4 linked regions of the Anolis sagrei genome follow. The protein of the gene in region 1 purifies or fractionates together with the protein of each later gene. This does not show direct contact. Links are inferred from orthologs where the notes say so. Each region holds a gene or a part of one and is shown in the gene's direction. Other genes may lie near its edges.

Region 1 (7,964 bases):
TTTTTTCGGGCTATATGGCCATGTTCTAGAGGCATTCTCTCCTGACGTTTCGCCTGCATCTATGGCAAGCATCCTCAGAGGTAGTGAGGTCTGTTGGAACTAGGAAAAAGGGTTTATATATCTGTGGAATGACCAGGGTGGGACAAAGGACTCTTGCCTGCTGGAGCTAGGTGTGAATGTTTCAACTGACCACTTTGATTAGCATCTGATGGCCTAGCAGTGCCTGGAGCAAACTTTTGTTGAGAGGTGATTAGATGTCCTTGTTTGTTTCCTCTCTGTTGTTGTGCTGTTATAATTTTAGAGTTTTTAAATACTGGTAGCCAGATTTTGTTCATTTTCATGTTTGCCACAGATGTAGGCAAAACGTCAGGAGAGAATGCCTCTAGACCATGGCCATATAGCCCGAAAAAACCTACAACAACGCAATTATTATTATTATTATAGAGTAGCACATGGTGAAAACAGAAGAGCATGCTTGCTCCATCAATACATAACATTTAGACCCTGTTGGTTCTCTTGGACATCCCAGCGGCTTTTGATACCATCGATCATGGTATCCTTCTGGGACGACTCTCCGGGATGGGCCTTAGAGGTACGGCTTTGTCCTGGAGGGTCGATCCCAGGTGGTGAAGCTGGGTGACGCCTGCTCGGACCCCTGGCCTTTGACCTGTGGGGTCCCACAAGGTTCCATTCTGTCCCCCATGCTTTTCAACATCCTGATGAAACTGCTGGGAGACGTCATCCGGAGTTTTGGAGCTGGGTGCCATCTCTACGCAGATGACGCTCAACTCTACTACTCTTTTCCACCTAACTCCAAGGAAGCCCCTCAAGTGCTAGACGAGTGCCTGACCGCTGTGGCTGTCTGGATGAGGAGGAACAAGCTGAAGATCAATCCCGACAAGACAGAGGTCCTCCTGGTCGATCGTAAACCAGTCCGGGATATAGGGTGGCAACCTGTGCTGGACGGGGTTGCACTCCCCCTGAAGTCACAGGTCCGCAGCTTGGGGGTCCTCCTGGAGTCTTCACTTACGTTTGAGGCTCAGGCGTCGGTGGTGGCCGGGAGGGCCTTTGCACAATTAAGACTCGTGCGCCAACTGTGACCGTACCTCGGGAAGGCGGATCTGGCCAAAGTGGTCCATGCTTTAGTCACCTCTAGACTGGATTACTGCAATGCACTCTACGTGGGGCTGCCCTTGAAAACGGCTCGGAAATTCCAGATGGTCAAACGGGCGGCGGCCAAGTTGCTAACTGGGGCTCCTTAGAGGGAGCGGTCATCCCTCCTGTTCAAGGAGCTCCATTGGCTGCCATTCATTTTCCGGTCCCAATTCAAGGTGCAGGTTCTTACCTACAAAGCCCTGAACGGTTTGGGACCCGCCTACTTGCGTGACCGCACCTCTGTATTCGAACCCACACGATCCCTTTGATCATCCGGGGAGGCCCTGCTCTCGATCCCACCAGCATCGCAGGCGCGGTTGGTGGGGACGAGAGAGAGGGCCTTTTTGGTGGTGACTCCTCGACTCTGGAATTCTCTCCCTAAAGACATCAGACAGGCCCCAACCCTGGCAGTCTTCAGGAGGAGCTTGAAGACGTGGTTGTTCCAGTGTGCCTTCCCGGAATAATTGATTCCATAGCACCTTGTCCTCCAAAGCACTTTACATTTTTAAGGTCTGCTCATATGCCCTTCCATAAATGCCACTATCACCTTCTCGTCCATGTCCCAGCATTACTTCCAATTTTAATTTACATTTGGCCTTCCCACTGTTTTTAATTATGTGTTGTCTTATTGATAATGTTGTATATTTTATTTGTCTATGTTTTATTTTAATTGCTTGTACTGTTGTTATTGCTTGTATTGATGTACTGTGGGCTTGGCCTCATGTAAGCTGCACCGAGCCCCTTGGGGAGATGGTAGCGGGGTACAAATAAAGTGTTATTATTATTATTATTACTATTATATTACATTATAATATATATATATTATTAGCATAGCACAATATTAGTGTTCTATATTATTATATTGTACTAGACCACTATATTCATAGAGTTGGAAGAGACCTCCTGGGCCATCCAGTCCAACCCCATTCTGCCAAGAAGCAGGAATATTGCATTCAAATCACCCCTGACAGATGGCCATCCAGCCTCTGTTTAAAAGCTTCCAAAGAAGGAGTCTCCACCACACTCCGGGGCAGAGAGTTCCACTGCTGAACGGCTCTCACAGTCAGGAGGTTCTTCCTCATGTTCAGATGGAATCTCCTCTCTTGTAGTTTGAAGCCATTGTTTCGCGTCCTAGTCTCCAGGGAAGCAGAAAACAAGCTTGCTCCCTCCTCCCTGTGGCTTCCTCTCACATGGCTATCCTATCTCCTCTTAGCCTTCTCCAGGCTAAACATGCCCAGCTCCTTAAGCCACTCTTCATAGGGCTTGTTCTCCAGACCCTTGATAATTTTAGTCACCCTCCTCTCGACACTTTCCAGCTTGTCAATATCTCTCTTGAATTGTGGTGCCCAGAATTGGACACAATATTCCAGGTGTGGTCTAACCAAAGCAGAATAGAGGGGTAGCATTACTTCCCTAGATCTAGACACTAGGCTCCTATTGATACAGGCCAAAATCCCATTGGCTTTTTTCACCGCCACATCACATCTTTGGCTCATGCTTAACTTCCTGTCCACGAGGACTCCAAGATCCTTTTCACACGTACTGCTCTCGAGCCAGGCATTCTCGCCCATTCTGTCTCTTTGCATTTCGTTTTTCCTTCCAAAGTGGAGTATCTAGCATTTGTCACTGTTGAACTTCATTTTGTTAGTTTTGGCCCATCTCTCTAATCTGTCAAGATTGTTTTGAATCCTGCTCCTGTCCTCTGGAGTATTGGCTCTCCCTCCCAATTTGGTGTCGTCTGCAAACTTGATGATCATGCCTTCTAGCCCTTGATCTAAGTCATTAATAAAGATGTTGAACAGGACCGGGCCCAGGACGGAACCCTGCGGCACTCCGCTCGTCACTTCTTTCCAGGATGAAGAGGAACCCTTGGGGAGAATCACCCTCTGGATTTGTCCATTTAACCAGAACCCCCCTCTTGGTTCGTCCATTTAACCAATTCCAGATCCACCTCACCATAGTTTTGCCTCGCCCACATTGGGCTAGTTTCCTTGCCAGAAGGTCATGGGGGACCTTGTCGAAGGCCTTACTGAAATCCAGGTACGCTCCATCCACGGCATTCCCTGCATCTATCCAGCTTGTAACTCTATCAAAAAAAGACATCAGATGAGTCTGGCATGACTTGTTCTTGATCAATCCATGTTGACTATTAGCAATGACCGCATTTGTTTTTAAGTGTTTGCAGACCACTTCCTTAACAATCTTTCCCAGAATCTTGCCTGGTATCGATGTGAGGCTGACCGGACATTGGTCATTGTTTGGGTCCTCCTTTTTTCCCTTCTTGAAGATTGGGACCACATTGGCCCTCCTCCAATCTGCTGGAACTTCTCCCGTTCTCCAAGAACTCTCAAAGATGGTTGCCAATGGTTCCGAAATGACTTCCGTTAGTTCCTTCAGTACTCTTGGGTGTAGTTGATCTGGCCCTGAAAGGGGACTTGAACTCATTTAGAGCGGCCAGGTATTCCTGGACGACTTGTTTCCCAATTTGGGAATCTCTCTAATCCCTCATCCACTCCATCTTACGGAGATTGAAAATGACTTTCTTTTTGTGAGAAGACCGAGGCAAAGAAGGTATTAAGTAGTTCTGCCTTTTCCCTATCCCCTGTCAGCATTGCCCCATCTTCTCCTCAAAGAGGCCCTATCGCCTCCTTGTTTTTCCTTTTTCTACTGACATAAGAAAAGCCAGCAACTACTTAAATCAAGAAATAGTTTTCTTAGATCTACAGAGACACTTGCTGGAATACCTCAGCAAGCAAGAGTCCAAAAGTGGCAGGCTCAAACCCAGAACCTCAACCAATGGCTGATACCAAATGAGAGACTCCCCCCTGGGCACACAGAAAACTGGGCGACTTGGAAGGCTCTGCACAAACTGCGCTCACCACGAGATGCAGAGCCAACCTCAAGAAATGGGGCCACAAAGTGGAATCCACGACATGCGAGTGTGGAGAAGAGCAAACCACTGACCACCTGCTGCAATGCAACCTGAGCCCTACCACATGCACAATGGAGGACCTCCTTACGGCAACACCAGAGGCACTCCAAGTGGCCAGATACTGGCCAAAGGACATTTAATCAACTACCAAGTTTGCAAAATTTGTTTTCTTTTTTCTGTTGGTTTGTTGTGTTCTGTTAGAAATGTAATACAATTGTATGCTTGCTGATGACACGATAAATAAATAAATAAGCACAATATTAGTGTTTGATATTATTATATTGTACTAGACCACTATATTGCTATATTATTAATAATATTAGATGTTCTATATAATATACAATTATTATATATATTTATTGTATTGTATAATAATATTATCCCATTACATATATAATACATTAACAGTATATTATACAATTAGTAATATATATATGTGTGTATCTACACACACACACACACACACACACACACATATATATATATATTTAATACTTCTTCATACAAAATGCCAAAATCATATAGAGATATATTTAAGTCATGGATACAGATCAGTTCGGCCTATTCTTCGAAATTTACTGAAAATCCCCTAAAAATGCTTTCAGAACGTTCATTCCAAGCAGGCCAAAGAATTCGCCCCTGTCCCTTTAAGGCGTTTTGCGCGCGCTCAAGTCTCTTAAGTATTGTTTTGAGATCTTTTTATCCTTCGCGGGCCGCCGTAGCCGAGGGAGGCCCCCTCCTGCGCGTGCGCCAAGGGAGGCTAAGCGAAAAGATGTCGCTCGCGTTGCCTATTAAGATTTGAAGGCTCTTTTTATCCCTCGGGGGCCACCGTAGTCGTAGGGAAGCTATCCTTCTGCGCCTGCGCGGGGCGGATTCTCGCTGCGGCCGGCCTGAGGAGCGGCTGCGTCCTTCCTCACTGCGCCTGCGCGAGAGGCCTTCCTCCCGCCCGGCGGCCAGAAAAAGGAAAACGGGGCCGCCGCTGAGAGAAAAAGGACGGAGGAGGCGAAGGAGAAGGAAGAGGAAGACATCCTCCCTTCCGTCGTCAGGGGCGAATCGAGTAAGGCGGGAAAGGCGCAGGCCCAACGACTAGGCCTCAGTGGCGATGACGTCATGGGGTCCTTTTTGCCCCCCTCCCCCTCCCTTCTCTGCCCCGAAGAGCTTCCAGTTCTATAGATACAGATTTAGGGATGCTTTCATGGGTTTTTGTGTGTCTGGCGAACTGAAAGTCTTCCATTGCTGAGATATGCAAGGATTATGCGTGTGTGGCCAGTGTGTACACGTGTGTGGCCGTGCACACGTGCTTTGAGAGGAGAAGCCTGAGCTAAAGTGGGATCAATGCAGTTTTGCAGCACTTGAACTGCCATGGTTCAGTTCTATGGCATCCTGGGAGTTGTAGCAATATCAGGTCTCTAGAATGCATCTACATTGTGGAATTAATGCAGTTTGGCCCCACTTTAATTGCCATGGCTCAGTTCTATGGCATCTTGGGAGTTGTAGCTTTATAAGGGCTCTAGAATGCATCTACATTGTGGATTTAATGCAGTTTGGTAGCACTTGAACTGCCATGGCTCAGTTCTATGGCATTGAGGGAGTTGTAGTTTTATCAGGTCTCTAGAATGCATCTACATTGTGGAATTAATGCAGTTTGGCCCTACTTGAACTGCCATGGATCAGTACTATGGCATCCTGGGAGTTGTAGCTTTATCAGGTCTCTGGAATGCATCTACTTTGTGGAATTAATGCAGTTTGGCTCCACTTGAAGTGCCATGTCTCAGTACTATGTCATCGAGGGAGTTGTAGCTTTATCAGGTCTCTAGAATGCATCTACATTGTGGATTTAATGCAGTTTGGCACCAGTTTAATTGCAGTAGTGCAGTGCTATGGTATCATGGGAGTTATAGCTTTATAAGGCCTCTGGAGTGCATCCATATTGAGAAATTAATGCAGTTTTGCCCCACTTGAACTGCCATGGTCAGTTCTATGGCATTTTGGGAGTTGTAGCTTTATAAGGGCTCTAAGGTGCATCTACATTGTGGAATTAATGCAGTTTGGCTCCACTTGAAGTGCCAAGGCTTAGTTCTATGGCATCCTGGGAGTTGTAGCTTTATCAGGTCTCTAGAATGCATCTACATTGTGGAATTAATGCAGTTTGGTCCCACTTGAACTGCCATGGCTCAGTTCTATGGCATCCTGGGAGTTGTAGCATTATCAGGTCTCTAGAATGCATCTTCATTGTGGAATTAATGCAGTTTGGCACTACTTGACCTGCCATGGCTCAGTTCTATGTCATCGAGGGAGTTGTAGTTTTATCAGGTCTCTAGAATGCATCTACATTGTGGAATTAATACAGTTTAGCTCCACTTTAATTGCAGTGACACAGTGCTATGGTATCATGGGAGTTACAACTTTATAAGGTCTCTGGAGTGCATCTATATTGAGAAATTAATGCAGTTTGGCACCACTTTAATTGCAGTGATACAGTGCTATGGCATCATGGGAGTTACAGCTTTATAAGGTCTCTAGAGTGCATCTATATTGAGAAATTAATGCAGTTTGGCACACTTTAATTGCAGTGAGGCAGTTGTCCTTTTATAAAGTCTCTAAGGTGCATCTAGATGGTGGAATTAATGCCGTTTGGGTACCACTTGAGCTATCATGGGGCATTGCTATAGCATCGTGGGAGTTGTGGCATTATAAGGTCTCTAGGGTTCATCTACATTGTGGAATCAATGTATAAGTTGTATAAGCTGTATAAGTTTTATAGGGTGTACCTACATTGCAGAATTAATGCGGTTTGGCATCAGTTTAACTGCTGTGGCACAGTGCTATGGGATTCTGGGAGTTGTAGCTTTATAAGGTCTCTAGGGTGCATCTATATTGTGGAATTCATTCAATTTGGCACTGTTTGAATTGCCACCCAAGTCAGTTTTGGAAAAACAATGTTAAAGCATTTACCGTATGAAAACAATTGGTTGGTTTCTTTTTCTGTCCGTTTCTCCAGGAGACTGCTTTTACTTCTAAGCCGTCGTGCTCTTTTGTCCTCGGAAGAGCCTGAAAGCTGGCTGGCTTCTTTCCAGAGCTATGGCCACGGAAGAGAAGAAACCCGATGCAGAGTCGACCAAAACGCAATCCACGCCTTCCTCTTCGACCAACCAAACCAAGGTACGACGGAGGCATCTGCCTCCCAAACTCAAATGCTCAAAAGGTTCGGAGGCTGCTTAGTATGTTGGATTCTTCCTAGCCCTGGAAATCCCAGTGTCATTTAAGGAGTTGGGTGAACATTGCTCAGGGAAGGGTTCATAAGTTGTACAGGCAGTCCCAAAGTTACGTACAAGATAGGCTCGGTAGTTTGCTCTTAAGATGAATTTGTATGCAAGTTGGAACCTGGACACAGCATATTATTTGAGAACACAGAAATGCTGGACCACTCTCACAACCACCATGTCAGACTACACAGAGAAGCCATTGAAATCCACAAGCATGTGGACAATTTCAACAGAAAGGAGGGAACCATGAAAATGAACAAAATCTGGCTACCAGTATTAAAAAACTCTAAAATTACAACAACAAAACAACAGAAAGTAAACAATCAGGCACATCAAATCACCTCTCAACAAAACATGCACTTCCCAGGCACTTCCAAGCCAATAAATGCTAATCAAGGTGGTCAGTTGAAGCATTCACACCTAGCTCCAGCAGACAAAAGTCCTTTGTCCCACCCTGGTCATTCCACAGATATATAAACCCATTTTCCTAGTTCCAACAGACCTCACTACCTCTGAGGATGCTTGCCATAGATGCAGGTGAAACGTCAGGAGAAAATGCCTCTAGAACATGGCCATATAGCCCGCAAAAACCTACAACTACCCAGTGATTC
Region 2 (7,994 bases), on another chromosome or scaffold:
GAGGCAGAAGTGTCCTGAAAGGGTAACTTTCCCAGACAATAATAAATCAGGGCCAGCTAACACCTCCCAACAAACGATTCCCCCAGGCAGCTACCAGCCAGGACTTCAAGCTGCAGGCCATTCAAGGAGACAAATTGGAACATTCACATGTACTTCAAGCAGACAAGAATCCTTTCTCCCACTCTGGACATTTCACAGATATATAAACCTCACTTGCTTAATTTCCAACAGATCTCACAACCTCGGGAGAAATCCTAGCAGATTGGAGGAGGGCCAATGTGGTCCCAATCTTCAAGAAGGAAAAAAATGACCTTCCGGTCAGCCTCACATCGATACCAGGCAAGATTCTGGCAAAGATTGTTAAGGAAGTGGTCTGCAAACACCTAGAAACAAATGCGGTCATTGCTAATAGTCAACATGGATTTTTCAAAAACAAGTCATGCCAGACTCATCTGATCTCTTTTTTCGATAGAGTTACAAGCTGGGTAGATGCGGGGAATGCCGTGGATGGAGCGTACCTGGATTTCAGGAAGGCCTTTGACAAGGTCCCCCATGACCTTCTGGCAAGGAAACTAGTCCAATGTGGGCTAGGCAAAACTACGGTGAGGCGGATCTGTAATTGGGTAAATGGACGAACCCAGAGGCTGATTCTCCCCAGGGCTTCCTCTTCATCCTGGAAAGAAGTGACGAGTGGAGGGCCATCTGCAGGGTTCTGTCCTGGGCCCGGTCCTGATCAGGATCTTTATAAATGACTTAGATGACGGATGAAAAAGCAGGATCATCAAGTTTGCAGACGAGACCAAATTGGGAGGGAGAGCCAATACTCCAGAGGACAGGAGCAGGATTCAAAACTATTCAAAACGATCTTGACAGATTGGAGAGATGAATGGCCAAAACCAACAAAATGAAGTTCAACAGGGACAAATGCAAGAGACTCCACTTAGGCAGAAAAAAACAAAATGCAAAGATACAGAATGGGGGACAATGACTGGCTTGAGAGCAGTACGTGTGAAAAAGATCTTGGAGTCCTCGTGGACAACAAGTTAAACATGAGCCAACAATGTGATGTGGTGGCAAAAAAAAAAAAAGCCAATGGGATTTTGGCCTGCATCAAGAGGAGCCTAGTGTCTAGATCTAGGGAAGGCATGCTCCCCATGCTCTATTCCGCTTTCGTTAGACCACACCTGGAATATTGTGTCCAATTCTGTGCACCCACAATTGAAGAGAGATATTGGAATGTGTCCAGAGGAGGGCGACTCAAATGATCAAGGGTCTGGAGAACAAGCCCTATGAGGAGCGGCTTAAAGAGTTGGGCATGTTTAGCTTGAAGAAGAGAAGGCTGAGAGGAGACATGATGAGGGTCATGTATAAATATGTGAGAGGAAACCACAGGGGGGAGGGAGGAAGCTTGTTTTCTGCTTCCCTGGAGACTGGGACACGGAAGAATGGCTTCACACTACAAGAAAGGAGATTCCATCTGAACATGAGGAAGAACTTCCTGACTGAGAGCTGTTCAGCAGTGGAACTCTCTGCCCCGGAGTCTGGTGGAGGCTCCTTCTTTGAAAGCTTTTAAGCAGAGGCTGGATGGCCATCTGTCAGGGGTGCTTTGAATGCAATATTCCTGCTTCTTGGCAGAATGGGGTTGGACTGGATAATGGCCCACAAGTTCTCTTCCAACTCTATGATTCTATGATTCTGTGGATGCCTGCCATAGATGTGGGTAAAACGCCAGGAGAGAATGCTTCTGGGAGATGACCAGACAGCACGAAAAACGAAAAGCAACCCAAAGGGGAAGCAGTTGCTATTTGGCAACTGTAGGAAATGAGTGTTGGGTTCGAAAGACCTTTTGTCGGCTCCAACATGACTGTTCTTTTGTTCATCCCAATGCAGTAGGACAGCCAGGCTTAAATAACGGCTTGTTTTCTGTTGCTCCAGAAACTAATGCACAATGGAGTTATGGGTTTAAAAGAGATCTCGCTGAAACATTAGGAAGAACTTTCTGATGGTCAGACCTTCTTTGGCAGTGGAATATGCGGCTGCATTACAGTCTGGTGGAGCCTCCTTCTCTGGAGGGCTGGGTGGACATCTGCCAGGAGGGTTTGGATGGTGCCTTCCTCTCTGGCAGAAAGGGACCAGACTGGATGGCCTTTTGAGGTCTCTTATAACTCTGTTCTCAGCCTAAAAGCAGGGTGCAATTGCAAGGGAGGGAAATCAAGCAAGCCGTGGGTTCCTTACCGTGCGCCAAGGAGGAAAAGCAAAAGAGGAGGTGTCCCCAGAGGGGCCCTCCAGGCCAAAGGGCCACCATGGCTCAGGTCCTTCCTCCAGCCCCTGGCTCTGTTGCAAGCCTGGCATCCAAATCTTCAGTGACAGGAGGCGGGGAAAGCCTTCTCTCCCGGCTGGCTCTCATTGGACAACAGGGATCTCCTGGTGATGCCATTGGGCAGGGTCTCGCATCCGTCATCACTGGGTTTTCGGCTACCAGGTGGCTTCTGATAGGATGGAAAGAGGAAATGGGCAAGGCATTTCCAAAAAGCTTGCACATCCCTTTTTCTGCCACTTGATTCAAGACTCTGGAACTATTCAGGGTGCATCTGCACTGGAGACTGAATGTAGGTTAAGTTTAGTTATTGCAATACATCTGCATGGGGAAACTCTGGCCCTCCAGGTGTTTTGGACTTCAGCTCCCACAATTCCTAACATTCTATTGGCTGTGAAGAATTGTGGGAGCTGAAATCCAAAACACCTGGAGCGCCAAAGTTTGGCCATGCCTGACTACACTGTAAAATGAATGCAGTTTGACTTCAGAGATATTGACAAACTGGAATGTGTCCAGAGGAGAGCGACTAAAATGATAAAAGGTCTGGAGAACAAGCCCTATGAGGAGCGGCTTAAGGAGCTGGGCATGTTTAGCCTGAAGAAGAGAAGGGGATATGATAGCCATGTATAAATATGTGAGAGGAAGCCACAGGGAGGAGGGAGCACGCTTGTTTTCTGCTTCCTTGGAGACTAGGACGCTTCAAACTACAAGAGAGGAGATTCCATTGGAACATGAGGAAGAACTTCCTGACTGTGAGAGCCGTTCAGCAGTGGAACTCTGCCCCGGAGTGTGGTGGAGGCTCCTTCTTTGGAAGCTTTTAAACAGAGGCTGGATGGCCATCTGTCAGGGGTGATTTGAATGCAATGTTCCTGCTTCTTGGCAGAATGGGGTTGGACTGGATGGCCCATGAGGTCTCTTCCAACTCTTTGATTCTATGCTTCTATGATTCAGTTATTGCAGTGCATCCACACGGTAGAATGAATGCAGGTTACCTTTAGTTATTGCAGTACATCTACACTATAGGAAGAATGGAGTTTAGTCATTGCAGTGTATTTGCACTGTAGAATGAATGCAGTCGAACTTTTGTTATTCCAGTGCATCCACACAGTAGAATGCACTGTACATCAATCAATTGCTTGCTTGATGTACTGCTTTAGTTATTGCAGTACATCTACACTGCATGACGTCGTCTGTGCGCATTCAGAAGAAGACCTACAAGCCACTCTAAACACCTTCGCAGAAGCATACGAGAAGCTCGGCCTGTCATTCAACATCAAGAAAACCAAAGTGCTGTTCCAGCAGTCACCAGCCAATCCCTCTCCAATGCCAGAGATACAGCTTAATGGTGTAACATTAGAAAATGTTGACCATTTCCGCTCCCTTGGCAGCCACCTCTCCACCAAAGTCAACATTGACGCTGAAATTCAACACTGCCTGAACTCTGCAATTGCAGCATTTTTCCAAATGAAGCAGAGAGTGTTTGAGGACTGGGACATCCGTAGGGATACCAAGGTGCTTGTTTATAAAGCTATTGTCCTCCCAACCCTGCTCTATGCCTGCAAAACGTGGACTGTCTACAGACGTCACATGCAACTCCTGGAATGATTCCATCAGCGCTGCCTCTGGAAAATCCTGCAAATCTCTTGGGAAGACAAGCGGACAAACGTCAGTGTGCTGGAAGAAGCAAAGACCACCAGCATTGAAGTGATCGTCCTCTGCCATCAACTCTGCTGGACTGGCCATGTTGTCTGGATGCCCGACCACCGTCTCCCAAAGCAGTTGCTCTATTCCGAACTCAAGAACAGAAAACGGAATGTTGGTGGGCAGGAAAAGAGATTGAAAGATGGGCTCAAAACCAACCTTAAACACTCTGGCATAGACACTGAGAACTGGGAAGCTCTGGCCCTTGAGTGCTCCAGATGGAGGTCAGCTGTGACCAGCAGTACTGCAGAATTTGAAGAGGCATGAATGGAGGGTGAGAGAAACGTGCCAAGAGGAAGGCACATCAAGCCAACCCCAACTGGGACCGTCTTCCACCTGGAAACCATAGCCACCGATTAATTAGTTCATTAAGTAAATCAATGTAATAAATGAAATTGGAGGGTGGACCTGCCTTGCAGAATGAATGCAGCTTGACACCACTTGGATTGCTCTGGCTCAAGGCTTTGAAATCCTGGGAGTTGCAGTTTTCCCAAGGCCTTCCACTGGCCTTTAACTGCCATGACAGCATGCTATACCATTCTGAAATTATCATATTCTTCTTTTTTTTTTCCGGCAGAAAGACAGCCAAGAGTTCCCAGTTTTTCAATAATAATAATAATAATTGATTTTTTTCTGTAAACAAACAGACAAATAAATATAAAAACATTCTGAAATTATCATATTATTCTTTTTTCTCTGCAGAAAGATAGCCAAGAGTTCCCAGTTTTTCAATAATAATAATAATAATAATAATAATAAATGATTTTTTTTCTGTAAACAAAGCAAAAAATAATAATATAAAAGCCCTGCGAACTCGGAAGTGTGCTGCCAAACTGCGAGGCACTGAGCATCCGTTTTACTAGCTCTATATAGCAATGCGAACTCGGAAGTGTGCTGCCAAACTGTGTGGTACTGAGTATCTTTAACCTTAGTACCTCTATATAGCATTCTCTGCCTTTGCACCTTCAAGCCCCTCCTCTTCCCCTTGGCTCCGCCCACTCAAGCGCCGGCGAAGCTTCTGGGTGCGCGCGGTGCATTGTGGGCAGGGAAACCGTTAGCAACAGGGCGGCCGCCAAGATGATGGTGAGTGACTGAGGGGAAGAGGACGGGCATGGCAAGCGGGGGTTATCCGCCGCCATCCGCCTCAGAGTCAGGCCCGTTATCACCGGGAAGGGTCTTGCCTTCTCCGGAAGAGTCTCCCCCGTGAGAACGGGGCCATATTGGCAGCGGGGCCGGAGGAGTTCGGGGGCTGAGCCGGGGCAAAAATGGAGGCCGCTTGGAGCCTCGTTGTAGCGGGTGTAACAGGAGAAGGGGCGCGCATGCGCATTAGGCGAAAGCTGGGGTCTCTAATCAGACTCCCATTCCCACTAAGTAGTTGGGGAACCTCGCCTCTTCAATGAAGGGAGCGGCTGGCGCGGGGCATCATGGGAGTTGTAGTTTGTTCTCGCCTTGCCTTTCCCTTACAAATGTATGAATGTGTTTTAATATTTACAAAGGTCCTGAGGCTGTTAGGAATGGTGGGAGTTGGGGTCCAAAACACCTGGAGGGCCCAAGTTTGTCCATACCTGGTATAGACTCATATAACACAATTTCACGCAATTTAGCTCAATAACAACAACAACACTTAATTTATATTCCGCCCTATCTCCCCAAGGGGACTCAGGGCGGATCACAGTACATATACACGGCAAGCATTCAATGCCCTTTTGTATAGACAATACAAGGACAGAACAGGAGGAGGTGTTCTTGTGGGTTTTTTCGGGCTATAGGGCCATGTTCTAGAGGCATTTTCTCCTGACGTTTCGCCTGCATCTGTGGCAAGCATCCTCAGAGGTAGTGAGGTCTGTTGGAACTAGGAAAAAGGGTTTATATATCTGTGGAAAGACCAGGATGGGACAAAGGACTCTTGTCTACTGGAACTAGGTGTGAATGTTTCAACTGACCACCTTGATTAGCATTTGATGGCCTGGCAGTGCCTGGGGGAATCTTTCTTTGAGAGGTGATTTGATATGCCTGATTGTTTACTCTCTGTATTGTTGAAGGCTTTCATGGCTGGAATCACTAGGTTCTTGTAGGTTTTTTCGGTCTATAGGGCCATGTTCTAGAGGCATTCTCTCCTGACGTTTCGCCTGCATCTATGGCAAGCATCCTCAGAGGTAGTGAGGTCTGTTGGAAATAGGAAAATGGGTTTATATATCTGTGGAATGACTGGGGTGGGGGAAAGAGCTCTCTGCTGAAGCTAGGTGTGAATGTTTCAGCTGACCACCTTCATTAGCATTTGAAGGCCTGACTGAGCCTGGGAAAATGTTCTTTTGAGAGGTGTTATGTGCCTGGTTGTTTCCTCTCATGGTGTCCTCCTTTCTGTTGAAATTGTCCACATGCATGCCATTGAAATCCACAAGCATGTGGACAATTTCAACAGAAAGGAGGAGACCATGAAAATGAACAAAATCTGGCTACCAGTATTAAAAAACTCTAAAATTACTACAGCAAAACAGCAGAGAGGAAACAACCAGGCACATCTTAACACCTCTGAACAGAACATTTTCCCAGGCTCTGCCAGGCCTTCAAATGCTAATGAAGGTGGTCAGCTGAAACATTCACACCTAGCTCCAGCAGACAAGAGGCCTTTGTCCCACCCTGGTCATTCTACAGATATATAAACCCATTTTCCTATTTCCAACAGACCTCACTACCTCTGAGGATGCTTGCCATAGATGCAGGCGAAGCGTCAGGAGAAATGCCTCTAGAACATGGCCCTATAGCCCGAAAAAACCTACAAGAACCTAATGGCGACCAGTATTAAAAAACTCAAAAATTACAACAGCAAAACAACAGAGAGTAAACAATCAGGCACATCAAATCACCTCTCAAAGAAAGATTCCCCCAGGCACTGCCAAGCCATCAAATGCTAATCACGGTGGTCAGTTGAAACATTCACACCTAGCTCAAGCAGACAAAAGTCCTTTGTCCCACCCTGGTCATTCCACAGATATATAAACCCATTTTCCTACTTCCAACAGACCTCACTACATCTGAGGATGCTTGCCATAGATGCAGACAAAACGTCAGGAGAGAATGCCTCTAGACCATGGCCATACAGCCCAAAAAAACCTACAACAACCCAGTGATTCCGGCCATGAAAGCCTTCGACAATACAATGTGTTTTAATATTTACAAGGGTCCTGAGGCTGTTGGGAATGGTGGGAGTTGGAGTCCAAAACACCTGGAGGGCCCAAGTTTGTCCATACCTGGTGTAGACTCATATAACACAATTTCACGCAATATAGCTCAATAATAATAATAATAACAACAACAACACTTCATTTATATTGCACCCTATCTCCCCAAGGGGACTCAGAGCGGATCACAGTACATATACACTATAAACATTCAATGTCCTTTTGTATAGACAATACAAAGACAGAACAGAAGGAGGTGTGTTGTTTCGACTCAACATTTAGCTTTTTTGGTGCCTAAGAAGTTGTGCTCGAATCCAGCTCTGTCACTCCATTCTCTATGATGAAGAGCCATCAGGACTTCTTCCTTCCTTTTAGTTGCCCAGCATTTTCCGATCCTTAGCGTTACCTAATTTTGCTATGTCTGTTTTCGAACTGCTTAGGTCAACAGTAAGCTGGGCTTGACAGTCAGTAGCTCATGTCGACCCACGGCTTTGAACTGGCAACCTTCAGTTATACAAATACACAATAATAAAGCAGTATATCATTATATATTATCAGTAGTAATTATATTTCATATAGTAGTATTAACATATTACAATATTATTGTATTGTCGAAGGCTTTCATGGCCGGAATCACTGGGTTGTAGTTTTTTTCAGGCTATATGGCCATGTTCTAGAGGCATTTCTCCTGACGTTTCGCCTGCATCTATGGCAAGCATCCTTAGAGGTAGTGAGGTCTGTTGGAACTAGGAAAAACTCTAAAATTAGAACAGCACAACAACAGAGAGGAAATA
Region 3 (7,399 bases), on another chromosome or scaffold:
AATTATGCTGGGGAAATAATTTATGCTGGGGAAAGTGGAAGGCAAAAGTGGAAGGCAAAAGGAAGAGGGGCCGACCAAGGGCAAGATGGATGGATGGCATCCTTGAAGTGACTGGACTGACCTTGAGGGAGCTGGGGGTGGTAACGGCCGACAGGGAGCTCTGGCGTGGGCTGGTCCATGAGGTCACGAAGAGTCGGAGACGACTGAACGAGTGAACAACAACAACAAGTTTATAATTGTTACTGTATATATATATATTTAAAGAAATGTAAGCACCTTACAGCCCACAAGGGCTCCTTGGACTGTTATCAAGCCATGGTAACCCCCTCCCCACCCCAATGCTTTATAGTTCACCAAGGACCAATATATGATTTTTCCTTCTTTATTAAAAAAGGTCGTTTCCAGAGGTCCAGAATAGCACAAGTTCAGGACTTCAGAAGATTGAGAACAGATCCAGCAGCAGCCGTACTCCTATTAAATATATCATATCTAACCCTTTAATAAATTGTATTTATTTTATTATTGTTGTGTAACTTGTATCTTTTAGCCATATACTGTATCTCTTTCCTGTATAAAATGTATAAATTACCTTGTAGAAATGTATCAAAATGCAGCCCGGAGACAGACACCCTCTGAGATAATCCCCTGAGAATAGGAAGGTTGGGCAAATCCCTCTGGCTATTTCCCAAGCCAGATAATCATCAGGCTCATTATGTACAGAAAGGTGATTTCCCCTGCCAGCAACATAAGCCAGATGTTGGTGTAATTCACCTGAGGTTGAGAGCCTGGTGCTCCGTCATGGGAACAGGAGCTTAAAGTGTGAACTTTCATTAACTCCATTGTTGACAGCCAAGCCCTTGCTTGCCTAGGACTGGCACCTTTGTCCTCCGAGTCTCACACCTTTATTTCTGGAGCTCCATATCTTCGTTTAACATGGAACTGAACAATTGAGCTACTCAAAAATTCATTAACATATAATTGGTATTATCTTCTCCAAGATCGCTCCCTCTGCAGCTGATTGGTTCTTCACTCTGACCAATCTCCGGCTGCCATCCTCCCCGACAAGCAAATCCCTGCCTGGAAGCTGTGATGTCAGCAGAGCTTTCGATCAATCCCAGCAGGGAAAAGAGCCATCCTCTTTTCTGGCCAATTAGAGGAGGTGGCGGGAGGTTTGAATGGCTGTCAGAATTGTATAAGATGTCTTACATTCCCCGCATGTTTATGCTTGTACATTTTAAAGCAAATTACTTGTACCTGCATCCCTTCTGGCTGAATTGTAATAAATCTCTGTGGCTTATCTTCAACCTGATGAGTTGTTTTCTCTGTCCTGGCTTTTTTGGTTTAGCATACCCTCATCGGGCACAAATCCTCCTATCTGTGGTCCTGGCTAAATCACTTCAAGACAATGAACAAATGAAAACAATGAACAAAACAAGATGATTTACATGCAATGTATTCAGGATATATTCATAGTGTACTTTTCAATTTGATGGGTGGAGTTTTTATGTCTTAATTTATAACTTTTAATATAGAAACAGATCAACAAGGCCATGTCTACTAGAAGTATGGCACAAGATTGTTGTACTGCTTGCAGCATTGAGTCTCGTGAACTAGTTTTTCTGATCAGCTATGTCAGTGGGCAGCTTGGTCTGAATAACCTCAGTCCTTTGTTATGGGAAACAACCATCCACTTCCATGGAGAAGGCCTAAAGCAACATACAGGTTCAACATCCATTATCTGAAAATCTGAAATACAATACTCCAAAATTAAAAAATTGTTCACATGGATGTGAGAAACTGACATCTTTGCTTTCTAATAGTTCAATGTGCATACACTTTTGTTTGATTCACAAAATTATTAGATATTATGTACCAAGAGGCTATGTGTACAGTGTATATATAATCAATTTTATATTTTGATTGGTTCCCACCTCCAAGACATATCATGATGTGTGTGTGTGCGTGCGCGTGTGTGTTCCATTATAAATATGAATCCAAAATACTTTTGGTCATAAGGATTTTGGATAAGGGATACCCAATTTGTATTGGCTGCTCCAGAAATATGCAGCATCACATGGGATGTGCTGTTTATAGGATCCAGCTATGCTGACATTTTTTATTATTTGCTAACTTGTCAACTATATCTAGTCACTGAATTTTAACACCAGATGAATAATAATAATAATAATAATAATAATAATAATGAATTTTATTTATATCCCACCCCTCCCCACAAGGACTCGGGGCGGCTCACAACGGAATCAAGTCACAATACATACATAAGCAGAAACTAAAAAGACAAGACACAATATATAACCAATACTCATAAACATAATGAGAAGACAGGAAAGCTTGGAGAAGATGATGCTGGGGGAAAAGGAAGGAAAAAGGAAGAGGGGCCAACCAAGGACAAGATGGATGGATGGTATCCTTGAAGTGACTGGTTTGACCTTGAAGGAGCTGGGGGTGATGATGGGCTGTCAGGGAGCTCTGGTGTGGGCTGGTCCATGAGGTCATAAAGAGTCAGAAGCGACTGAATGAATAAACAACAACCTCATAAATGAAAATTTTTAAAACAATATCACAAGAAATACACAGTTAAAAAATTGTATTGGGTTTAAAAATGTATTGCACTGCGGAGGCAAAAACTAGTTAAAACCAATAGGTATTGACAAGCCTGAAGACGAGAAGGCTGAAAGGAGACCATGTGTAAGTATGTGAGGGGAAGTCTTAGGGAGGAGGGAGCAAGCTTGTTTTCCGCTGCCCTGGAGACTAGGACGCAGAACAATGGTTTCAAATGACAGGAAAGGCAATTCCACCTGAACATGAGGAAGAACTTTCTGACTGTGAGAGCTATTCAGCATGGTTTGGTAACTGCACAGTGGCAGACACGAAGGCACTCTAAAGGATCACCACTTCTGCACAGAGAATCATTAATTGCTCTTTCCCCTGTTTGGAAGACCTTTATAAGTCCTGTTGCTTTAAGAAAGTTCAGAACATTCTTGGGGATCCATTTCACCTGTCATTTTTTTTTTAATTATTGCCATCTTGCAGATGGTACAGGGTGACAAAGACAAGGAGAAGCAGACTGAGAGATAGCTTTTTTCCTAGAGCTGTGGCTATGTTGAACTCAATAGTTTCACACTGATGTGGCATTGGGGGCAGTGTGGTGGTGGTTGGGGTGTGGAGGGATTGGTGTATTGTTTTGTGGTGTATGATGGGGAAGGCTTCAAACTACAGGGAAAGATATTCCACCTAAACATTAGGAAGAACTTCCAGAGAGCTGTTCAGCAGTGGAACTCTCTGCCCCAGAGTGTGTTGGAGGCTTTTATGCAGAGGCTGGATGGCCATCTGTCTAGGTTGATTTGAATGTGATTTTCCTGCTTCTTGACAGAAAGGGGTTGAACTGGATGGCCCACGAGCATTTTTTGGCTCTAAGCTTGGTAAAAGTTGTTCATTTGTTCAGTCATTTCCGACTCTTCGTGACTTCATGGACCAGCCCACGCCAGAGCTCCCTGTCGGTCGTCACCACTCCCAGTTCCTTCAAGGTCAATCCAGTCACTTCAAGGATTGCATCCATCCATCTTGCCCTTGGTCGGCCCCTCTTCCTTTTTCCTTCCATTTTCCCCAGCATAATTGTCTTCTCTAAGCTTTCCTTTCTTCCCATGATGTGGTCAAAGTACTTCATCTTGGCCTCTACTATCCTTCCCTGCAATGAGAAATCGGGCTTTATTTCCTGAAGTATGGACTGGTTGGATCTTCTCGCTGTCCAAGGCACTCTCAGAACTTTCCTCCAACACCACAGCTCAAAAGCATCGATCTTCCTTTGCTCAGCATTCCTTGTGACCCAGCTCTCATATCCATAGTTGACTATGGGGAATACCATTGCTTTAACTATGCGGATCTTCGTTGCCAGTGTGATGTCTCTACTCCTCACTATTTTATCAAGATTAGTCATTGCTCTCCTCCCAAGAAGTAAGTGTCTCCTGATTTTCTGTCTGCAGTCTGCGTCTGCAGTCATCTTTGCACCTAGAAATACAAAGTCTGTCACGGCCTCCACGTTTTCTCCTTCTATTTCCCAGTTGTCAATCATTCTTGTTACCATAATCTTGGTTTTTTGATGCAACCCAGCTTTTGCCCTTTCTTCTTTCACCTTGATTAGAAGATAAAAGTACAACGCCCTAATTCTTGTGCTGAGCCACCCTCAAAAGGCCCAATGCTAAATGATCTCCTCGCGCGGTACCTTCCTCCCTCAGTGCCAGGGTGACACCGGAGATCTTTCTACGCCGCACCAAGTCAACTTCTGTAGGCGGGGCTTGAACTGAGTGACAGCGGTCTCGTCCAATGGCCAGGGAGAATCCTCTGCCAGCAGCCAATGATTCGGAGGGGGCGGGGATACGGAACTCGAGCGCCGGGAGCCTTGGTAACGCGCGGCACATTTGCTTGTGAGCAGCGCGTGGGGCGGAGGCGAAGAGAGAGGCGTCGAGGATGAAGATCGAGGAGGTGAAGAGCACCTCGAAGACGCAGCGCATCGCCGCCCACAGCCATGTCAAGGGCCTGGGCCTGGACGAGGGCGGCGCGGCCAAGGCAGCGGCGGCGGGGCTGGTCGGGCAGGAGAACGCCAGGGAGGTGAGAAGGCCTCAGGCCAAGAGGGAGGCCCCTTTGAAGGGACTGAACAGGCCTGGGCCAACTTGGGCCCTCCAGGAGTTTTGGACTTCAATTCCCACCATTCCTCACAGCCTCAGGCCCTTTCCTTTTCCCCCTCAGCCGCTTAAGCTGAGGAATGGTGGGAATTGAAGTCCAAAACTCCTGGAGGGCCCAAGTTGGCCCAGGCCTGGTCCAGACCCACAAATTCAAGACTCCTCATAACCTGAGTGAAGGAAGATGCTTTTGAACTGTAGTGTTGGAGAAAAATTATTGGACTGGAAGAAGATCGAATCAGTCCATACTCCAGGAAATAATGCCTGACTGCTTACTGAAAGGAAGAATATTACAGGCAAAATTGAAGTACTTTGGCTACGTAATGAGAGGACAGGAAAGCTTGGAGAAGATAATGATGCTGGGGAAAAAGGAAAAGAGGTCAACCATGGGCAAGATGGATGGATGGCATCCATCTGGGCCAGAGTGAAGAGATAGGGGGCCAGGGGACAGTTCCACCTTGTCTCCTGTGCTATTCTAATAATATAACATAATGTAATATAATATATTGTATATACGTATAATATTTATAATGTTATAATGTAATGCAATCTAGTACTATTTTTTTTTGTCGTGTCAGGAGCGACTTGAGAAACTGCAAGTTGCTTCTGGTGTGAGAGAATTGGCCGTCTGCAAGGAAGTTGCCCAGGGAATGCCCAGATGAATTGATGTTTTTATCATCCTTGTGGGAGGCTTCTCTCATGCCCCCGCATGAGGAGCTGGAGGTGATAGAGGGAGCTCATCCGCCTCTCCCCGGATTCAAACCTATGACCTATCGATCTTCAGTCCTGCCAGCACAGGGGCTTAACCCACTGCGCCACCGGGGGCTCCTTATAATACTAATAATAATATGATATTATAATTATATATTTATATTACATGTAATATTACTATTACAATATAGTGGTATAGTACAATATAGTAATATTTAATACTGATATTGTACTTTGCTAATAATATAATATATCGTATGTATATATATACACCTTGTAAGCCGCTCTGAGTCCTCTTCAGGGTGAGAAGGGTGGCATATAAATGTCGTAAATAAATAAATCCTTGAAGTAACTGGTTTGACCTTGAAGGACTTGGGGGTTGCCACAGCCGACAGGAAGCTCTGGTGTGGGCTGGTCCATGAGCTCATGAAGAGTTGGAAATGACTGAACGAATAAACAACAACAACAAAATCAGCCACTGATTGAGGTTCCAGATTTTTACCTGCCACTTTTGGATTCTCACTTGCCGAAGTGTTCCTACGCCCATGATGGCGAACCTATGACACGTGTGTCAGCACAGACACGCATAGCCATTTTCGATGATATGCGGCAGCATACAGAGAAGACATTTAATCCTCGGCTCCTACACCAGCATTTTTCTATGATGCCGAGATATATGGCATTATAGAAAAAGCAGGTAACTTAAATAATTAGTTTTTGGTTTATTAAATACAGTTATATATTACAATAATATATTTTTGTTATTAAACTATAAATATCATGAAATTATGGGTTATTCTCGAAGTGACACCCCACTCGAGTTATGCTCGGTTTTTTGGCGAGTATTGACACACCAAACTCGAAAGGTTGCCCATCACTGTCCTACGCATATCTCTGTAGGTCTTAGGAGGCTATTTCTTTATTTAAGATATTGGCATGCTGGCTGGTATCTGTACAGAGGATGGGCCGAAGATGTCAATGCCTTGGTCCTTTCATTACTGGTTGCTACTTCCTGAAGGTTATCAGGTGGTACAATACTGGCTAAACAGTACAATGTTTCCAGTAGTAAAGGGCGTAGACATCTTGTGATAATGTGGGTGGTAATACATCCAGGCATTCCCTGGGCAACGTCTTTACAGATGGCTGATTCTCTCACACCAGAAGTGATTTGCAGTATACAATAAATCAAGTAACTTGTGTAGTTACATACTCATATCCCATTCTAGGCACATTTTCATATATGTATGCTCCATATAACAAGTCTAGCTTCTTATAGAAGTTTTAACTTATTTCACTGTTGAATATCCCTGTGGGCAGAAAAATTGGGCTATTCCAACTCGATAGCCCCCTACGAGGATCTTCCTCCAGGGGCAAACCAAGAATGGGCAACTTGGAAGTCCCTGAAGAGACTCAGAAGTGGTGTTGAGAGATCAAAAGACAATCTGGCAAAATGGCAGTACCTAGAACAATCCTCTACCTTTTGCTGTTGTGGAGCAGAACAAACAACTCCGCATCTGTATGCTTGCCCACAATGCCCTGCCACATGCACAGAGGAAGAACTGTTTAAAGCTACAGACAATACAGTTGCTGTTGCCTGTTTTTGGTCTAAATTTTTAGCTGCTTGTGTTCCCTTTATTTTATCAGTTTTATACTCATTTATGCAATGCTTTTGACACAAAATAAATAAACTTATTTCACCATTGTGGCTCAGTTGTATACATTATATTAGTTAAGCATTGCTATAACCACCTAGCCAGAGAGGAGTTATGCCAGTTAACCAGCATTGCAGAGTGTTGCAAATAGCCTTAGAAGCCGGGATAAATTGTCTATTTCTATAGACAGTTTTTCAACTGGAGAGGTATACGTTTTTATTACTTTCGCTGTTATTTGCTTATATTGAGTAAGGAGTTGTGCATTATTGTATATTTGGGAAATAATAAAAGCTGGTTTATATAATAATAATTATCAAATTTATAATGGAATTACTA
Region 4 (7,338 bases), on another chromosome or scaffold:
CATCTATCCATCCACCCATCCCTCTATCAATCCATCCATGTATTTATCTATCTATCCATCCCTCTACCCATCCATCTGTCCATCCATCTACCCATCCATCCATCCACCCACCCATCTATCCGTCCATCTAACTACCCATCCATCTACTCATCCATCCACCCACCCACCCCTCTCTCCATCCATCCACCTACCCATCCCTTCCTCTATCTATCTATCCATCCATCTATTCCATCCATCCATCCCTCTCTCCATCTATCCATCCATTCATCTATCAATCAATCCATCCATCTACCCATCCCTTCCTCTATCTATCCATCCATCTATTCCATCTATTCCTCCATCTATCCATCCCTCTATCTACTCATCCACCCACCCACCCTTCTATCCATCCATCTATCTACTCATCCATCCATCTATCAATCCATCCATCCTTCTATCCATCCATCTATCCCTCCATCCATCCATCTATCCCTCAATCCATCTACCCTCTATCTATCCATCCATGTATTTATCTATCTATCCATCTATCACATCTATCCATCCATCTACCCATCCATCTGTCCATCCATCTACCCAATCATCCATCCACCCACCCATCTATCCGTCCATCTAACTACCCATCCCTCTACTCATCCATCCACCCACCCACCCCTCTCTCCATCCATCCATCCATCTATCCATTCACCTACCCATCCCTTCCTCTATCAATCCATCTATTCCATCCATCCATCCCTCTCTCCATATATCCATCCATCCATATATCCATCCATTCATCTATCAATCAATCCATCCATCTACCCATCCCTTCCTCTATCCATCCATCCATCCATCCATCTATCCATCCCTCTATCTACCCATCCATCTACTCATCCACCCACCCACCCTTCTATCCATCCATCCTTCTATCCATCCATGTATCCACCCATCTTTCCATCCATCCATCCATCCATTCTATCTATCCATATCCATCCATCCCTGGATTTGAACCGCCAACTTTTTGATCAGCAAGTTCAGCAGCTCGGCAGTTTAACCCGCTGCACCACCACGGGTCCTACACAGTACAATACAAAAAAGTAAAAGCAATAGCACACAAAACGATTCAAAACTCAGAATAACACCCCAGAATGGTGACAACTGGCGTAAGGCCCGGCCAAATTGTAAACAAAACAAGGGAATGAAAAAGTGCAAATGGTCACTAAGGAAGAAGGGCACGGATGAAAAGGGCAGTGGTGGCCGGACCATTCATTGCGGACCATTGTGGCTAGAATGTGGTCACAAAGATAGGCAGGGCCTGAACTGTTCAGGAATTTATTTTGTCATTTGGGAGTTGTAGTTGCTGGAATTTATAGTTCACCTACAATCAAAGAGCATTCCGAACTCCGACAACGATGGAATGGAGCCAAACTTGGCACACAGAACTCCCACAACCAACAGGAAATACTGCAAGGGTTTGGTGGGCATTGACCTTGAGTTTGGGAGTTGTAGTTCACCTACATCCAGAGAGTACGGTGATGGATCTGGACCAAACTTGGTACGGATACTCAATATGCCCAAATGTGAACACTGGTGGAATTTGGGGGAAATCGACCTAGACATTTGGGAGTTGTAGTTGCTGGGATTTATAGTTCGCCTACAACCAAAGAGAATTCTGAACACCAACAATAGAATTAGGCCAAACTTCCCACACAGAACCCCCATGCCCAACAGGAAATACTGGAAGGGTTTGGTGGGCATTGACCTTGAATTTTTGAGTTGTAGTTCACCTACATCCAGAGAGTACAGTGATGGATCTGGACCAAACTTGGTACGGATACTCAATATGCCCAAATGTGAACACTGGTGGAATTTGGGGGAAATCGACCTAGACATTTGGGAGTTTTAGTTGCCGGAATTTATAGTTCAGCTACAATCAAAGAGCATTCTGAACTCCGAAAACGATAGAATTGGGCCAAACTTCCTACAATTGAACCAAAATTGGCACACAGAACTCCATGCCCAAATTTGAATACTGGGAAGGATTTGGTGGGCACTGACCTTGAATTTTGGAGTTGTAGTTCACCTACATCCAGAGAGCACCATGGACTCAAACAATGGTGGATCTGGACCAAACTTGGCATGAATACTCAATAAGCCCAAATGTGAACACTGGTGGAGTTTGGGGAAAATAGACACTGACAGTTGGGAGTTGTCGTTGCTGGGATTTATAGTTCACCTGCAATCAAAGAACATTTTGAACTCCACCAATGAAGGAATTGAACCAGTCTTGGCACACAGAACTTCCACGACCAACAGGAAATACTGGAAGGGTTTGGTGGGCGTTGTTAGCCTTGGAGTTTGAGAGTTGTAGTTCACCTACATCCAGAGAGTACAGTGATGGATCTGGACCAAACTTGGCACAGATACTCAATATGGCCAAATGTGAACACTGATGGAATTTGGGGGAAATCGATCTTGACATTTGGGAGTTGTAGTTGAGGGATTTATAGTTCACCTACAATCAAAGAGCATTCTGAACTGGCCAAGCCTCCCTCCAGCCTCGCATGCTCTCCCTTGCCCCTTGGCTGAGAAGCCAGCCAATCACAACGGAGGAAGGCTTCTTCTAGGAGGATTTCCAAAAAGGAAGAGAAGGACAGTATATATACAATATATTATATTATTAGCATAGTATAATATCAGTATTATATATTGCTATATTTTACTATACCATTATATTGTAATATTATTAGTAATATTACATGCAATATAAAATATATAATTATAATATCATAACGTCAGGCAGATCTATTTGGCTACTTATTATTTATGTGGGCCGTGGAGCTTCAGATATACCCCGAAACTATTCAGACGTACCCCAAAACGATTTACCAGCAATGATGGAAAAGAATCAGAACCAAGCAAACTTCTCTTGGAAGAGGATGGCAGGGGGTTGGACTAGATGGTCCATGTGGTCTCTTCTCATTCGATTATTTTCTGATTCTATTATTCTTATTATGGTTGGGTGGCCTTCTGTCGGGGGTGCTTTGATGGTGCTTTTCCTGCATGGCAGGGGGTTGGACTAGATGGCCCATGGGGTCTCTTCCCACTCTATTATTCTCTGATTCTCTGATTCTTATTATGGCTGGATGGCCATCGGTCGGGGGTGCTTTGATTGTGCTTTTCCTGCATGGCAGGGGGTTTGACTAGATGGCCCATGGGGTCTCTTTCCACATTATTATTATTATTATTATTATTATTATTATTATTATTGCTGGATGGCCATCTGCCAGGAGTACTTTGATTGTGCTTTTACTGCATGGCAGGGGGTTGGACTAGATGGCCCTTGTGGCCTCTTCCAATTATTATTATTATTATTATTATTATAATAAATTATTCTATGATTTTATTATTATTATTATTGCTGGGTGGCCATCTGCCAGGAGTGATTTGATGGTGCTTTTCCTGCATGGCAGGGGGTTGGACTAGATGGCCCATGGGGTCTCTTTCCACATTATTATTATTATTATTATTATTATTATTATTGCTGGATGGCCATCTGCCAGGAGTACTTTGATTGTGCTTTTACTGCATGGCAGGGGGTTGGACTAGATGGCCCTTGTGGCCACTTCCTATTATTATTATTATTATTATTATCATCATCATCATCATCATCAATTATTCTATGATTTTATTATCATTATTATTATTGCTGGGTGGCCATCTGCCAGGAGTGATTTGATGGTGCTTTTCCTGCATGGCAGGGGGTTGCACTAGATGGCCCATGTGGTCTCTTCCAACTCTTATTATTCTTATTATGCCTGGATGGCCATCTGTCAGGGGTGCTTTGATGGTGCTTTTCCTGCATGGCAGGGGGTTGGACTAGATGGCCCATGGAGTCTCTTCCAACTATTATTATTATTATCTATTATTATTATTATTATTATTATTACTGGATGGCCATCTGCCAGGAGTGCTTTGATGGTGCTCTTCCTGCATGGCAGGGGGTTGGAATAGATGGTATCACGTGGTCTCACCATGAGGTGAAAAAAAGAGCCCCGCCCCTCCCCTCCTCCTCCCCCCTCCCTCCCTCCCCCCCTCCCCCCCTCCCCCCCCCAACCGTCGCCGGCGCGAGGACGGCCCTCCTCCTGCCCCGCCCCCCTTTTCCCCGCCTTTCGCCCAATCCCGCGCCGCGTCTCATTTTAAGCCCGCCGCTTCACCTATCACTCTCTCGTTTCGTTTCGACGGCGCGGATTGGTGCTTGGGTCGGGCGCCCCGCCCATATTTACTATCAGCGCCCCGCCGCCGCACGCGCACGCCTCCAGGCCGGGTGCGGGAGCCAATCAGGAGGCGCGATACTGGCGTGTGGCGGTAGCAGCAGCAGCCCTGTCCCTGTCTGAAGGGGTGGCGGTGTGAGGGGAACAGAGAGGAGGGAAGAAAGGAAGGAAGGAAGGAAGGGAGAGGAGGAGACACAGAGAGAGAGAGAGGGAGAGGAAGGCTTCCCTTTGGGCCTAGCCGGTTCCCCTCAGCCTGCTTCCCCCTGCTCTTCCTCATTGTCCCCCTCACGTTGAAGGCCTTCCTCCTCCCCAGAACAAGAGAGGCCTTCCCTCTTTCCTCCCTCCCTCCCCACATTGAAGGCCTGAAAGCATTAGGGAACCAGGCTCCTCTTCCCTCCTTTTCCTTCCCTCTTTCTTTCCTTCCTTCCCCACACATCCTGACTCAAGACCCTTCCTCCCTCCCTCCCTCCCAATCCCTTCTTTTCTGTCCAAGCTCTTGTTTGGGATCTCCTCCTCCAGCCCACCTCCAGACAAAGCCCACTCATGGTGTGACTCCAGGGGGAGAAGGTAAGTCAGAGGGCCTTCCATTGGTGGGGCTTTTTTTGTTTGTCTACTTGTGTTGTGCCTTCAGTATTGCAATTAACAGGGAGAAAGGGGAGGAAAGACATAAAAAAGACACAAACAAGAGTGGCCTACCAAACTACACAACAGGCACCTTCTCTCACCAAATGTTTTGTGTTGTGCCTTCAGTATTGCAATTAACAGGGAGAAGGGGAGGAAAGACACCAATTATTATTATTATTATTGTTATTATTATTATTATTAGTAATAGTAGTAGTATTGCTGGATGGCCATCTGTCAGGGGTGCTTTGATGCTGCTTTATCAAATACACATGCCTAACAACAATGGCATATCAGTCTACACAACAGGCACCTTCTCTCACCAAATGTTTTGTGTTGTGCCTTCATCTTCTCTCACCAAATGTTTTGTGTTGTGCCTTCAGTATTGCAATTAACAGGGAGAAGGGGATACACATGCCTAACAGCACTGGCCTACCACACTACACAACAGGCATCTTCTCTCACCAAATGTTTTGTGTTGTTCCTTCGGTATTGCAATTAACAGGGAGAAGGGGAGGAAAGACATACACATACCTAACAACAATGGCCTATCAGTCTACACAACAAATAGGAAAGACATATGCATGCCTAACAGCAATAGTCTATCAGTCTACACAACAGCAATGGCCTATCAAACTATACAACACGCATCTTCTCTCACAAAATGTTTTGTGTTGTTTCTTCGGTATTGCAATTAACAGGGAAAAGGGGAGGAAAGACACCAATAGGAAAGACACACACATGCCAAACAACAATGGCCTATCAGTCTACACAACAAATAGGAAAGACATACACATGCCTAACAACAGTGGCCTATCAAACTACACAATAAATAGGAAAGACATACACATGCCTAACAGCAATGGCCTATCCAACTACACAACAGGCACCTTCTCTCACAAAATGTTTTGTGTTGTTTCTTCAATATTGCAATTAACAGGGAGAAGGGGAGGAAAGACACCAATTATTATTGTTATTATTATTATGAATTATTCTATTATTATTGTTATTATTATTATTAGTAGTAGTAGTAGTATTGCTGGATGGCCATCTGTCAGGGGTGCTTTGATAGTGCTTTATCAAATACACATGCCTAACAACAATGGCCTATCAGACTATACAACAGGCACCTTCTCTCACAAAATGTTTTGTGTTGTTTCTTCGGTATTGCAATTAACAGGGAGAAGGGGAGGAAAGACACCAATTATTATTATTATTATTATTATTATGAACAACAAACTACACAACAAATAGGAATTATTATTATTATTATTATGCCTAACAACATGCCTAACAACAAGAGCCTTTCAAACCACACAACAGGCACCATCTCTCACAAAATGTTTTGTGTTGTTTCTTCAGTATTGCAATTAACAGGGAGAAGGGGAGGAAAGACACCAATTATTATTATAAATTATTCTATTATTCCATTATTATAATAAAATTATTATTATTATTGCTGGATGGCCATCTACCAGGAGTGCTTTGATTGTGCTTATCCTGCATGGCAGGGGGTTGGACTAGATGGCCCATGTGGTATCTTCCAACTATTATTATTATTATTATTATTATGCCTAACAACAATGGCCTTTCAAACAACACAACAGGCACCTTCTCTCACCAAATGTTTTGTGTTGTTTCTTCAGTATTGCAATTAACAGGGAGAAGGGGAGGAAAGACACCAATTATTATTATAAATTATTCTATTATTCCATTATTATAATAAAATTATTATTATTATTGCTGGATGGCCATCTGCCAGGAGTGCTTTGATTGTGCTTATCCTGCATGGCCGAGGGCTGGACTAGATGGCCCATGTGGTCCCTTCCAACTATTATTATTATTATTATTATTATTAGTAGTAGTAGTAGTAGTAGTAGTATTGCTGGATCGCCATCTGTCAGGGGTGCTTTGATGGTGCTTTATCAAATACACATGCCTAACAACAATGGCCCATCAATCTACACAACAGGCACTTTCTCTCACAAAATGTTTTGTGTTGTTTCTTCAGTATTGCAATTAACAGGGAGAAGGGAAGGAAAGACATACACATGCCTAACAACAGTGGCCCATCAATCTACACAACAGGCACTTTCTCTCACAAAATGTTTTGTGTTGTTTCTTCAGTATTGCAATTAATAGGGAGAAGGGGAGGAAAGACACAAATAGGAAAGACATACACATGCCTAACAACAATGGCCAATCAAACTACACAATAGGCACCTTCTCTCACAAAATGTTTTGTGTTGTTTCTTCAGTATTGCAATTAATAGGGAGAAGGGGAGGAAAGACACAAATAGGAAAGACATACATATGCCTAACAACACTGGCCTATCAAACTACACAACAGGCACCTTCTCTCACAAAATGCTTTGTGTTGTTTCTTCAGTATTGCAATTGACAGGAGGGAATGACACCATGAGATGTGAAATATGTCATTGATAGTTGCTGATGATGGCTTGTTTTA

Evidence for each region.
Region 2: the proteins of WDR5 (region 1) and CCT7 purify together in Homo sapiens (affinity purification with mass spectrometry; 3 studies listed by BioGRID and IntAct, with this or other methods). This does not show direct contact. The link is inferred for Anolis sagrei from reciprocal best matches to the Homo sapiens genes WDR5 and CCT7.
Region 3: the proteins of WDR5 (region 1) and RUVBL1 purify together in Homo sapiens (affinity purification with mass spectrometry; 3 studies listed by BioGRID and IntAct, with this or other methods). This does not show direct contact. The link is inferred for Anolis sagrei from reciprocal best matches to the Homo sapiens genes WDR5 and RUVBL1.
Region 4: the proteins of WDR5 (region 1) and RERE purify together in Homo sapiens (affinity purification with mass spectrometry; 5 studies listed by BioGRID and IntAct, counting the BioPlex papers as one, with this or other methods). This does not show direct contact. The link is inferred for Anolis sagrei from reciprocal best matches to the Homo sapiens genes WDR5 and RERE.

The regions. Positions count from the first base shown.
Region 1 is NC_090031.1:5,426,410-5,434,373, reverse strand, and holds the start of WDR5 (WD repeat-containing protein 5), read left to right. Parts: upstream 1-4,944; 5' UTR 4,945-5,144; intron 5,145-7,088; 5' UTR 7,089-7,168; coding exon 7,169-7,249; intron 7,250-7,964.
Region 2 is NC_090025.1:5,459,101-5,467,094, forward strand, and holds the start of CCT7 (T-complex protein 1 subunit eta), read left to right. Parts: upstream 1-4,991; 5' UTR 4,992-5,095; coding exon 5,096-5,101; intron 5,102-7,994. Other genes in the region: PRADC1 (protease-associated domain-containing protein 1), read right to left, coding at 2,236-2,305. UniProt on the Homo sapiens protein: Component of the chaperonin-containing T-complex (TRiC), a molecular chaperone complex that assists the folding of actin, tubulin and other proteins upon ATP hydrolysis.
Region 3 is NC_090022.1:55,532,652-55,540,050, reverse strand, and holds the start of RUVBL1 (ruvB-like 1), read left to right. Parts: upstream 1-4,394; 5' UTR 4,395-4,488; coding exon 4,489-4,629; intron 4,630-7,399. UniProt on the Homo sapiens protein: Possesses single-stranded DNA-stimulated ATPase and ATP-dependent DNA helicase (3' to 5') activity; hexamerization is thought to be critical for ATP hydrolysis and adjacent subunits in the ring-like structure contribute to the ATPase activity.
Region 4 is NC_090033.1:2,658,270-2,665,607, forward strand, and holds the start of RERE (arginine-glutamic acid dipeptide repeats protein), read left to right. Parts: upstream 1-4,335; 5' UTR 4,336-4,817; intron 4,818-7,338. UniProt on the Homo sapiens protein: Plays a role as a transcriptional repressor during development. May play a role in the control of cell survival. Overexpression of RERE recruits BAX to the nucleus particularly to POD and triggers caspase-3 activation, leading to cell death.